Mytilus edulis: one gene and its partner. Each later gene encodes a partner of the first gene's protein in a complex. Links are inferred from orthologs where the notes say so. Each region holds a gene or a part of one and is shown in the gene's direction. Other genes may lie near its edges.

What was found.
Region 2: probable tRNA N6-adenosine threonylcarbamoyltransferase (region 1) and EKC/KEOPS complex subunit TPRKB-like share a complex: the UniProt entries of both Homo sapiens proteins name them as parts of the EKC/KEOPS complex. The link is inferred for Mytilus edulis from reciprocal best matches to the Homo sapiens genes OSGEP and TPRKB.

What each region holds. Positions count from the first base shown.
Region 1 is NC_092348.1:62,725,642-62,732,912, reverse strand, and holds the start of probable tRNA N6-adenosine threonylcarbamoyltransferase, read left to right. Parts: upstream 1-4,268; 5' UTR 4,269-4,433; intron 4,434-5,869; 5' UTR 5,870-5,871; coding exon 5,872-5,986; intron 5,987-6,725; coding exon 6,726-6,845; intron 6,846-7,039; coding exon 7,040-7,141; intron 7,142-7,271. Other genes in the region: retinitis pigmentosa 9 protein-like, read right to left, coding at 383-477, 919-952. UniProt on the Homo sapiens protein: Component of the EKC/KEOPS complex that is required for the formation of a threonylcarbamoyl group on adenosine at position 37 (t(6)A37) in tRNAs that read codons beginning with adenine.
Region 2 is NC_092344.1:90,406,050-90,412,950, reverse strand, and holds the start of EKC/KEOPS complex subunit TPRKB-like, read left to right. Parts: upstream 1-3,900; coding exon 3,901-4,044; intron 4,045-5,543; coding exon 5,544-5,666; intron 5,667-6,236; coding exon 6,237-6,410; intron 6,411-6,901. Other genes in the region: coatomer subunit gamma-2-like, read right to left, coding at 3,659-3,698. UniProt on the Homo sapiens protein: Component of the EKC/KEOPS complex that is required for the formation of a threonylcarbamoyl group on adenosine at position 37 (t(6)A37) in tRNAs that read codons beginning with adenine.

The sequences.
Region 1 (7,271 bases):
ATCTTTGTTTGAAATTGTTAGGATCCATCAATCTTTTACACTGTCTACAGAGATTTTTAACAGGGTACCAATGCTTAGAAATTTAACTTAAGGTGGTACCTAACACTTTCACTAAAATCAATTTGGCTCGTTTAATTTTCATTAAATTTTGACAAAGTATTCACTTTGACCCTTTGACAAAAATATAAAAATTTCAAAAAATTTGAACCAACCATTTTATTAGAAAGAAATACACTGGTTATATAGCAGTTTGACAAACACTAATTTTGATCATTGAGAAGCATAAAATTCTCTTAACAACGCAACTTAATTAAAACGTTCAGCTGATTTTACAGAGTTATCTTCCTGTAGTGTTAGGTACCACCTAAGTCCTTAAACTCACCCATTTCAGTCTTTGGTGAACTTGTGGAGGTTCTATCTGTTTTCCTTTTTCAGGGCATTTGTCTTTCTTGTGTCCATTCTTCTTACAATAAAAACCTAAAATTATATCTTCTTTTAAATAGAATAAAAATAATCACAGAATTAACAAGTATTGGAAACCTATAAACAGTGATAGTGCTTCTTAGAGTTCCCCTTGTGCAAAATTTAATTAAAATCAAATCCTTTAATTGCTCCTGTTCTGATATGTCACACATCAAGGTGTGCGACAATGTAGCTGAATGGGAGCAATTCAAGAATTTAGTTTTAATTAAAGTGCCATTTTATTCTTTCTTTTTTTTGGGGTTAATTGTGATATCTGAATCTGTAAATATTAATTTTCAAGATGATCTGTATTATACAAGAAACTCATCTCCAAAAAATCGTTCATGTGTCACTTATATAGGTTAGACTTATTTCCCCTTTCCATTTAAAATATTTTCACAATGTAACTGAAACGATCAAATAAGAAAAAAAAGGTAAATATGGATTTATTCTTACACTGAATTGAATCTTTATCCTTGTCTCTATCCATTTATGTCAACTCTTCTGATAAAATCATTTCATCCTGTGGTATATATCACTCTGCAATGGAAAATGTCCTTTCAGACAGACTGAAAAGCAATAAAAGAACAGTATTCCTGCATCCTCCATGTTGTATATATTATCTTCAAGTTCAATAACTCCAAAACTATTTTTATTCATATTTTATACTTGTTGATAAATATCTTATAACAGGGGCTTATACATAATGTATTATAGTCCTAGCTTAGTACAAGAAAAGTAGATTTGACATGAGATGGCAAACTATATAATTGTTCACATAATTTTTACTTCCCTATAACCAAACTCCTAGTAAAAAAGTTGGTTTGCAGAGCATTACTTGCAGAGGACTTGTGTTTTACAGAAAGCATAAATTTGTCATAATTACTGTAAAAAACCAATATGTGTACAGAGCAATAAATTATATGAACTGTAATGTGCATATGCAGAAGGTAGAGACAGGGGTGTCCTGCTTTTTCTTGTATAAAGGCAAATTGGTTTTTTAGATTTTAATCTGTGGACAATGGAATTTAGTATATATATATATATAAATACATATTTGTTAGACTTAGATGGATGTCTGTATCTTTTAATTGAATGTGAAATCACAATCTCAAATAAATAAAAGTTAACCAACTAGATCAATGTTGCTTTATTCCTTTCATATAAATAAATTACATGTGGATATAAGACAATGTAACAGAATCCAAATACAAAGATAACGTAAAGACATCTAGGGGCAATACTATACAGTGTCAAACAATACTGGAAATTCAGAAATTTAAAAATATTGCGTGCATTTATTATTGTGATTTCGTAATTTAAACTAAAATGCGATTTAATTTTTGCGATATTATAAATTATCCTGTTTAAATCATATAAAATATTCAAATATGCGAGTTTAAATTATTGCGATTATAACTCCGTGGAATTTTTTGCAATAATAAAAACATCGCAATAATTTCTGAATTTACAGTAGACAGAATATAGAAAAATAAAATCAAATATTGAAAGTATTATCATTTGGATTTTTTTAACATTAGAGTATTTAGGTTCAACGATCATTTGAGTTTGGAATAATATGTCTTTACGAAATCAGGAGTATGACAGTAATTATAAAAAAGAAGATGTGGTATGATTGCCAATGAGACAACTCTCCACAAGAGACCAAATTTTAAAGACACAGAAATTAACAACTATAGGTCACAGTAAGGCCTTCAACAATGAGTAATATTTTCTTTAAATAAAATTGTGAAATCATTGCAGCAAGTTGGTAAAAAGGACATTGATTAGAGAAGCCAAATATTAAACGTAGATTTGAGAATGACAAAAAGACATTAATAAGAGATCATACATGTCATATAGGCAGTTGATTTGTATTTTTCATTTATTATGAATTCATATTTGGACATTGAATTGAGGAATGAACAATTTGATCTGAGTCTTACATATATAATAGAAACTTTTATAATTCTTCATTCTGCAAATTATTTCAGTGAAAAGGTGTTAAATAATTGGATAATGATTGTGATGGATGGCTGCTTAACGTCCAGTGGCAAATTAATATGCATATTTGGAACTAGAACGAGATCATGTAAATGAAATACGGAAAGGGATTAATAAAGGTTGCAATAACTTGTTTCCCAATCCAATATAAATAAATATTTTTAAAAACTAAGAATATTAGTCTGCTTTGTACAAGATGGACACACTACACAATTTTATTAACATGTAGATTTGTAGTACACAAGGAAACAGTCCACAGGAAGATATGTCACCTAACCCGGACACACTATTCAGACTCTGAGCTGATCAATCTTGGCTGGAACTGTTAATGCTGTCTAAAAATTGGAAGTAAATAGGTACAGATGAAGAAGTACACTTCCAAGACATACCGATTATGAGGTTGTCTGCATGTTGATATTGTAAAATATCAGCTTCAAGTCACAATATACAGCTTTTTGTCAAACAGGCACAGGGAACGAGATCAAAATGCCTTCATATTGTGTCGAGCAGCTTATATTTTACAATATCAATATGCTAATAACCTGATAATCGATTTATTAGGCTGTATTTGGGTCTTTTGGAAGTGCTTTCTTAGCTACACCAGCAACCAGAAGATGATCTGATAAGTTCGGGTCAAACTTATCAACGTTGGTTCAAGCATTATGACGTCACTGATATGTCCGGGTCAACATATTGGACGTCACAAAGCCGTAATATGCAATTTTATTAAGAACTGAGCAGAGTGATATAGACAGTGGGACGACCGATAACATACCAATATACTACATGTACTAGTATAATTTTTGTTACAATATTGTTTCAGATAAGGGTGAAGGTTGGAACCTATTAAAATGTTTAAAACCACAGCATACATGTATGTTTGCATCTGTCCTTAGTTTGGGATATGATTTTATTCAAGTAAAATGCCGTTATATAGTCCCATGTTGTTAAAATTGCAATTAAAATGATATGCACGCACAAAATGCAGCTTGTGTCAGCATAATCCTGTTATACATCATTTGACACAGTTCATGAACTTAAATACTGGGGTTGTTTATAAAAAGTGCGAAATTTCATTTGAGAGTCTGAGAACTGGGAAAGAGTGGTTTGATATGCCAATTAGGGTATGCATAGATAAGTCAATTAGGATATAATACCCCAATTGGGATATACATGTAGTACCACAATTAGAGTTATTCCCAACCTGTTTAATATAAATTAGACCGTTCTTTTTCACGTGTGAATGGTTTACACTAGTCATTTTTGGGGACCTTAACAGCTTGCTTTCTGGTGTGAGCCAAGGCTCCATGTTGCAGACCGTACAATTCAATAATCACTAAAGTCAGTAAAGAGATCTTATTCCTGTAAAAATTTTGTATTTTCTTTTCATAGTTTGTTCAACTTATCATCATGCATGTCATGTTTGTGATTCTGAACTTGAGAGCATTTTTCTAATTTTCATTTCATGTGTGATAATTTACAAACTAGGAATGATACACAAAGTCTATGATACATTTAAAATACCTAATTTTAAATCTACCCCAAGCTTCTCTAACACAGTAAAATCGGATACTAGTCCGTCTCCGTTTCGAGTTTTAGTATACATTTGCTAAAAGAAAGAACAATTTTGTATAAAAATAAAGAAATCACAAAAAGTTTGCACACATTAGATTGACTATTGATTTACAAAATTTAAAAAAAAAATCTTCGTTCTAAATTAAAATTTCTGTATAATATTCTAGCCATTTTAATTAGGTTCATAATAGTTAAAAGAATGACCTGTACGGGATCAAACTCCAGTTACTATAAAATACAAAGCGAAAGTACAAACTGAAAGTAGAATTTCTCAGCAGCCCTCATGAATGGGAGTTATGATATGAACCAGAGACATATTCCCAATAAAAACTAATCAACAACAAACTAAAAACCATATCTCATATTGCTATCAGTGTGTTTTCTTAAAGCAGGTAAATTTAAGCAGTTAAGGAGGCTCGAGGGTATAAAAATTTCAGAAAAAAAATAAACATTTGTTTTTCATTACAAATTTTATTTATTACCATTTGTAGTTGTTACTTTATCATATGGTACAAAAAAAAAATTAAAAAAATTAATTCGTGTTGGCCCCAGATGACTTTTAAAATGTAAACATCATCTAAAAAGTTCCAAATTATCTCCCTTTGGTGGAAAAATGCCATTTTTTGGCTTTAAAATTGAAATATCTCTTTTAACTCATCGGTGACCTATATTTTTTAATATGATTTCTATATATGCTTTACTTAAACTAAATTATTGTAAAATTTGAGCAATTTCTGTAATGAATTTCTTTTTTTATTTCGATATTACCTTTATTTCTCTTATTAGTTCAACAGGAAAAAAACACTTTTACAAAGATGTATGCTTCTTTCGAAGGCAGATTGTGAGTGCAAATGAACGGTGACCCCATTTTTTTATTTTATTTTTCTCTTAACTATAAGATAAAGTTCATTTATAGTAAAATATTGAGAAATCCTATATAAATGATTTAGACCCGCGAACCCCCTTAATTGAATTAAATCTATTTTTTGCATTTAGAATTTTATCCAATTTGCTCACTTATATAGCTGACAGATGTATTGACTTTTGTTTGTTTAGACCATGCAGTTTTAACACATTTTACACTGGTGAATACCATAGAACACCTAAATTATAGATGAGAGACACACTTTTATAGCCTTAAAATTGCATAATTTTTTTATAAGGTTCATCATAACAAATGGACAAATATGGGTGTATTTTCTCTTTAAACTTATATGTGTACAGACTTGAAATTTTTAATTCATTCCATATTTATTTGGTATTATAATGTTTTGTGCTGTTCATAACACTTTCCATACAATGTATTTTGTATAGATAGTGTTGTGCACGGCACAGTACATTCTATTGAAAATGTACTATCTTCTTTGTAATAGAAAGTGTTGTGCACAGCACAGAACATTAAAGTATAGAATAAACATGGAATTTATTAAAAAAAATACAACAAATAAAGAAATTATGTAAATTCCATAATTGATATTTGATAATAATTCCAAGTTCAAATAATAGCCTGTTATTTGACATTTCTGGGCCTTTTATAGCTGACTATCCTTTATAGGTTTTGCTCATTGTTGAAGACTAAAATCTTTAAAAAAAATCCTTTGATATTAATTTTTCATAACTTTTTAAAGAAAAAAGATGCCAATGTTAAATGTATGAAAAAAATCTAGAAATCATTTCCAGCCAAATTTTTAATTGTCTATATCTTCAGGATCAACAATTACTTAACATTATACCAGATTTTTTGTCTATTAAAAATAAAGGATATTTGATTTAAGAATACTTGTTTCTGGTCACAATCAATATATTCTTGTTCTTGTCTTGTAAATAGAAATGGTAATAGCAATTGGCTTTGAAGGAAGTGCCAATAAGATTGGAATTGGTATAATACAAGATGGAAAAGTGTTATCAAATCCAAGACGTACCTATATAACTCCACCAGGCCAAGGTATGTAAAAACTTAAAATTTGATATTCATGGTTTTGAAATAAGTACTTGCCAATAAACTATTTCATATTACAGACTTTTGACTCTGAGGTTTATATTTTATTGACAGGTTACTTAATCTGTCATTTTGTCTGTTGTAGAAAATCCTGGTATTCAGTCAAGTAAGAGCAACTTCAATAAGTAAAATCAAGCTTCAAATCAGTAAATTTACTGTTTCTTGTTGTCTATAAATGACAAAATCATGTGAAAACAGCAAAATTTCTCTTTAAATTGCACAGATTATATGTTTGATTTTTCTTCTTTTTCATGATTTCTTATCACCATGATCACAGAGAAGGGACCTGTGGAAATTTAATCTTGAGTCAAAAGTCCAGTTATATGAAAAAAGTCTATTAATAGCAAAATATGAGCAATTTGTATTTGGATATAAAGAAGATATGTTATAAGTGAAAATGAGACAACTCTCCATCCAAGTCACAACTTGTAAAAGTATAGGTCAAAGTAAATTTTCATGATATTGGAAGTTAGGTACAGTTTGGTGTTTTCGTCATATACTTTTTGAATTGCCAATATACCTGATATTAATTATTCTATGAGAACCTGCATCCATATATAAAAGTCTTTGAATTACAATGTATTACATTTATAATAAAAGAAGTTTAAAACAGAAAAACTGAAATATTAAATTAAGATCCTTTTAGTACTACATGTAGTATAAAACTGTCCTTTTGGGATTACAGGTTTTTTGCCCAGAGACACAGCTAACCATCATCGAGCTAATGTTCTAGTTGTATTAAAGGAAGCACTTGATGAGGCTAAAATAGATCCAAAACACATTGATGTGGTGTGTTATACAAAAGGTCAGTCTGAGATTATTTTTTTATTAACTAACATATCATGATTTTGCCAATTTATTTTTCGGTTTGACCTAATTGTTTTTTCCATAACTTGATATTCTGGGTCATTGTCATATATAAAGATAATTGTTGTTCGTCAAATAAAATTGAAATTTTAATTGTGTATTTTGCATTTTGCATTTTATTGTTTTTTACAGGTCCAGGAATGGGTGCCCCATTAGTATCTGTTGCCATAGTAGCGAGGACAGTAGCACAGTTATGGCAGAAGCCAATCATAGGAGTAAATCACTGTATTGGACGTATCCTTAACTGCATATAGACTTCAACTTCATGATCACTATTTATCATATAAATACAAAATTACATACCAATGAATCAAAGGAGATGTGGGAAATACTTCAATGAGACAGCAACAAAAAAATATAAAAC
Region 2 (6,901 bases), on another chromosome or scaffold:
TTTAAAGCAAATTAGGGCAGAATGACATTTTCTAGTTATATTGGCTATAATCTCTAGCATTATATGCATCAACATATGTACTTTACTAAAAATTGGGATAACCAGTTTTCTGCTAAAGTGACAAAACTTGCAATCTATTGTAAACCTATCTGAACACCTGATCAACAACAAAAGGAATAGTTGACCTTTAAATTTCATTTAAATCTAACAATAGAAATTATGTTCAGTGGGGCATAAGTGAGTAGAATTTACCTGATCATCACAGCTTTCAATCATGGTGAACAATAGATTTTATATTTAGTTAGATAAGCATCAAACTGGGCATTTGCATATTAAATTAAGTACATCAATTGGTGCATCAACTGTTCCAGCCATAATAAGTAGAGAATGCCATTCTGCCCTATATTGATTTAAATCCAGTCTAAACAAAAATATCCCTCTATAGAAGGATAATTTTACCCCTCTATAGAAGGATTATCCCTCTATGCAGGTATAATTACCATATAGAGGGTTTGTTCCCAACCTGATGTACAACAGGCACTTGTTTCTATCCATGGAATAGGGATATGTAATATGGATAGTCAACCTTCCCAAACAAGTGCCTGTGGTTGTAGTTGTACATCTATGGCATAGACAGATCCAGGGTAAAGGGGGGGCAGCCCCCCCTTTCGTTGGAAAAATTTGGTTGATTATATAAGGAATCATTGAAGCATGACTGGAGCGGGCCCCTCCTTAGGTCAGTCAGTGCCCCCAGAGGCGGATTTAGGGGGGGGGCCCGGGGCCCCCCTTTTTGGGAAAAAATTTGGTTGCTTATATAGGGAATCACTGAAGCGTGACTGGAGCCCCCCCCCCCCTTTAGGAAAAGTTCTTGATCAGCCACTGCCATAGGCGGATCCAGGAGGGGGGGCAGCCCCCCCCCTTTTCGTGGGAAAAATTAGGTTGATTATATAGGGAATCATTGAAGCATGACTGGAGCGGGGCCCCCCTTAGGTCAGTCAGCGGGCCTCCCCTTAGGAAAAGTTATGGATCGGGAAGCACTAATGACAGGACGATTGCCCGGATAGTGACAGGACGGTTGACCGGACGAGATATAAATAGTCATAACTTTTTTGTTATTCAGTAGATTTGTTTAATATTTGTAGACCTTAAAGATATTAAAATATATTTTATGAAAATCAAACAAAAAAAGTGAAAAAAATATTTTTGAGTATATAAAGTTGACCGGACGGTATTCACACTCGCCGTTAAACGCTATACATATATTCAACTGGTCGGCAACAAGTGTTAATATCTCTTTTGTTTTACAATATTTGTCAACAAAATTCCGGAATCTGTGAGAATAATAAATATTAGATACGAAAATATAAATTTCAAAGTAAAAAAATAAAAAAAAATGTTTTTCTCCATAAAAAGTTGACCGGACGGTATTCACATTCGCCGATGTACGCGTTAATTATATTGAACTGATAAAAAAAAGTGTTATGTCTTATTTGTTTTACAATATTTTTACACCAAACTAAGAAATCTAAGAGATCAATAAATACTTGATATGAAAATATAAACTTTATAGTACATAAAAATGTTTTTCTTCAAAAAAAGTTGACCAGACGGAATTCACATTCGCCGATATATATGCTTTAAATATATTGAAATGATCGACAAAAATGTTAATATCTCTTTTGTTTTACCATATTTGTCCATGAAATCAGAGACATATAATGTCTCTGATGAAATTAAGAAATTTTGGAGATTTATAAATATGTTATAAGAAAATATTAAATTTATAGTAAAAAAAATATTTTTGAGCAAATAAAGTTGACCAGACGGAATTCACATTTGCCCATATATGCTTTAAATATATTGTACTGATCGACACATGTTAAATATCTATCCATGAAATTAAGGAATCTGTGAACTCTATAAATATACACTTTATAATAAAAACTTTGAGCCCAAAATGTTGACCTGAGTAAGTTCACCAGCACACTAGAAGACCTGATATTTAAAATATTTATTATTTAATTAAGATTACTATCTAATTTTGACACCTGTCGTAATCACCAATCAAGCCAATAATCATGTCATTTAAGTTTTCACACCTGAGACATTAATTGAATTAACTTATATAATCAAGTTGGCAATTAGAATCCAATCAAAGATTACAGTGAATTGCATGCACGTTTTATTAAACAATACAAAATCTCAGATAAAACTAGATAGCTGTCTGACATGGATTAAATTAAAGTGAGATCACCAATCTCCTGGTATCAAATCATTTGAAAAAATAACAACAATGTATTGCAATAAGACCTATAACATTGAAGGAGTAAACTTGTATTAAGTCGTGTTCTGACCCTTTATGATAGAAAATAAAAGACACAGATTACCTTGCACGGGCATCGAACACAAAGTTACTTTAGTATAATACTGCACTGTCACTAACTAGTCTGTCACTATATTTAAATTCAGTTATAAAAAAAAATCACCTTATAGTCTTTCATTTTCTCTTCGAAAGCATTCGAAATTTGATTACTATTGAATTCGTTTCTACTGTATCCAGGGGCTTAACTAGATTCTTTTAAAAGTGAGGCAAGATATATTCGCCATTTGGTGAGGGATCTGGCGGCCGTCAAGACCCCGACCCAGAAACTATGAACAAATATTACGCAAAATCGTGAATCCTGAGAGTTTCGCGGACTCTTAGGAGGCACAATTATTTGAATGTCCCTACCCTTGGAACCTCAGTCCGGTCATTTTTTTTTCAAGAAAGTTTATATTTACATATCATATATTTATTGATGTCGCAGATTTCTCCAGTTTCATGACTTAAATCAGCTGCTTAAATATTGTTAATCCTTAATTATTTTTTTTTATTAACATACATGTATAATCAACGTGTACATCGGCGAATGTCACACACAACACCGTCCAATTATTTTTTTTGGCAGAAAAACATTTTTGTTTATCATAAAGTTTATATTTTCGTATAAAATATTTATAAATCTCATAGATTCCAGAATTTCATGAACGAATATTGTAAAACAAAAGAGATATTAACATTTGTGTTGATCATTTCAATATATTTAAAGCATATATTGGCGAATGTGAATACCGTCCGGTCAACTTTTTATGGAGAAAAACATTTTTTTTTACTATAAATTTATATTTTCGTATCTAATATTTATTATTCTCACAGATTCCGGAATTTTTGTGACAAATATTGTAACCAACAAAAGAGATATTAACACTTGTTGCCGACCAGTTTAATATATGTATAGCGTTTAACGGCGAGTGTGAATACCGTCCGGTCAACTTTATTTGCTTATAAATATTTTTTTTCACTTATTTTGTTTGATTTTCATAAAATATATTTTAATATCTTTAAGGTCTACAAATATTAAACAAATCTACTGAATAACAAAAAAGTTATGACTATTTATATCTCATCCAGTCAACCGTCCTGTCACTATCCGGGCAATCGTCCTGTCATTAGTGCAACCCTTATGGATCCGCCACTGACTGTATGGTCCCAACTATGGTTAGCAAACTCAAAAAAAAAGGAACCATTAGAGTTACGGTTCCGCAGCTACCCGTAACCCGGGCTCAGTCCCCTAATTATTGGTAAATGATGATGATATCGTCAGTAATTAAAAATTACCTTCTTCCTCTTCTTTCTTATCACGCCTAAGCATATGCATTTTTCCTGAAAATTATATTAACCCGACAGGAAGTTCTTCTATTCCACGTTGAATATGAATTCTACGCATGCGGGGAGCTCTCCCACATCTGAAGGTAAGAAAAACTTTCATTTCCTGTCAAAAATAAAAGTAGAAATTGACTCGAATTTTTGTATTGCTTCAAGTTTAGACGAATAACACGTCGTTTTCTCTTAATTTCAAAATGTCAATACGAGTCTTAAAGAATGAGTTTTACATGGATTCGACTATTTCTCTTGCTCTCTTTAGAAACGTTGAAAATGCCAAAGAAGTAAGACAAAACGTGATGAATGGTACATTTGAAGCAGCTTTATTGAAGCCATCAATGGTATGCTAGATGAATTTAAGATGGGTGTAATTAACTTGTAAGAATTCAAAATTAACACATTCAGTCACTTTCTTCGTGTCTGTCAGTACATAGGCTTCAACCAGGCAAGTTAACATAAATTTGAATAGGTTCTGGAATATTTACAGTAGAAGTTTATATGAGGGTGGTTATGGGTTATTTTCTTGCAACATGTTTTGCTATTTTTATTTCACATGCAGCTGTAAAAAAAGGTTCGTTATTCACCATGTTTTGTGAAATTGGTAAAAAGATCAACGTGCAAGACATTTTTAATTGTTCATGTATCGTGAAATGTCAATTTTATTTCACGTTCTCCTGTGAAGATACACCTCCCCTTTTTACGCCCCTCTTATATAGCTCGATACACCTTGTCCGCAATAACTGGACATCTTAAAGGTTCCTGTTACAAATTTCTAATTCCAAAAAGGAAAAGTGCTACAAAGTTCAAGTGTTGCAGATTCCCATTTACAATAATTAAGGTTGATTGACTTTATACAAATTCACCCTGTTATTGTGGCTTTCATGTAACATATAGACACCAGGGTTTTTTTTCAAATATTTTTAAACTTCAATCTTTGATAGCATTCATGTGAGATGATTACATTCTTGTGTTATGTGCTGAAATGTCATCTAAACTTCAATCTTTGATAGCATTCATGTGAGATGATTACATTCTTGTGTTATGTGCTGAAATGTCATCTGAGATTAAATTTAAGAAAAACACCCTTAACATTTGCCTTATGTAGAAAAACTATTTTTAGTATTTTATTGTGTTTAAAAACAACTTATCATTCAAATTTCTTCGTTTCAATGTTATAATAATAGTACATGTATATTCAAGTACAGGAACATTAAACATAGAGCGCTTTGATCACTAGAATTGCTGTCTTTGTCCTATTATAATTGAAAAAAAATATTGTAAAGGCTTAAGTTTATCTTGATTTTACCATGGGTTGGCCTTGTATGCCAATATCTTTTCCAATTGCTATAGCTTGTGGTAAATATGTAGCCTAAAGCTCCAAGCCATAATAAGATCATGATAAACATCAAGTGCATGACGCACTTTGGTCAACTCCTGTAATGAGTTGCACATGCTGTGGTAGGCAGGCCACAATAGTATCTTTTTCTTCAATTCCTTTTACCATATGGTTCTGTCAATTTCTTTGGAAAGCAACAGGTCCAAGATCATGGCAGATATCTTTTGTCTTAATTCAAAGCATAATTATTTTCCTCACTTTGTCAATCTTTGTGGCCCATTAGAGTTACAAACTTAACATTTCTAGAAAATCCAACTATAAATATTGGCTTTTACATACAACTTTCGAGCAGGGATACAATGTGACTAAAAGTCACTTTTTTCAGTAGCTATCATGACATATAAAAAAAAAAAATCTTGATCCTGATCCTTACCGAAAAAAATCAATTGATATAACGCAGAGACATTATAATTATAGTATTAAAAGATTGCTTTTATTTTGTAGATTTGCGATCCTTTCCAAGTAATTGTAGCAGCAAACAGAGCCATTCATTTGAACAGACAGAATAAGATGATTACAAAGAATGTTCATTCAGAAATCTTATTTTGTCTATCACCAACTAAAAATGTAATTATGCAAACATATTTAAGTAAAAAGACAAAAGTAAAGGCTAACATAATAATATTATTATGTCATTGAAAAATGTAGTTGAACCATATTTTTATTTATCTAAAAATTAATTAGGAAATACTAGTGTTATGTACAAAATCTTATTACCAATCGGGACTTACAAATGTAATTGTATATCTTGCATTGATGAACAATTTTGCTGTTTACAATTGTTGTTGAACTGTTATAATATAGTTCACAAGATAGGCACAATGCTAAAGTTGTTCAGCAGTTTGTTAAAAAAAATACCCCATTTATAAACAATAACTCATTATTCCTCAAATATGGATTCAAATGATGCTTTCAGCTATACTTACATTTTTCTTGATCTTAATGCCAATTGTTTTTGCTGTTTACAGCGTTTGTTCATCTGTAAAAGTTTTCAGACATACTATACAACTAAGAAATACAAAATCCTACCTCCTCATGTCATTACTTGGATAACAAGAATTTAAAAACAATTTGGTGTGTTTTTATGTGATATGTAATTAAAGTTGATTTCATTCAATTATGTCCTATTTTGTACAGATATCAGATTCTTTTCGGAAGTTTGGTTTAGCAGATAATGAAACTAGTGTAATGGTAGTTGTTGCAGACGACATAGATGGCAGTACCATGTCAGCAATATGTAAATGTGTAAAAGGAGAATTAAGTGATGCGCAAGATGTTATACATTTGACAGAAACAAAGCCAATACAGAAGGTAAAATTACATACTATTACAGTAAATTGGTTGTAACTGATTTGCAACTGGTTGAAGTTCTGACCAGTTGAAAAGTTTTGTTTGATGAAACAAACTGCAATTTCGGATCAGAATTTTGAATTAATTGCAAAAGGTGGACAGAAACAATTAAAATTAAGTTTTAGTAATTTGAATAGTTGCAGTACTGTATTCATATGCTATAAAGTCAAAAATTCAGACCACCATTTTGGTGCAATAAACCAAAATATCCATGACATCCAATCTTACAATTCTATTATCAAGCTTATGATACAAAATACTTATGCATCATTTTGGTTGTCCTATCAGACCTAACTTTCATCTTTCAGACACTTTTATTGAGCTTCGTAATATAGATGTTTATTGTAGAATATCAATCAAAATATACCATATGTGAATAAAAATGTATGTGGAATCGATCAGTGAGACAGCAACTCAATGACTGAAAAATCTAAAGTTGACTAGGACTCAAC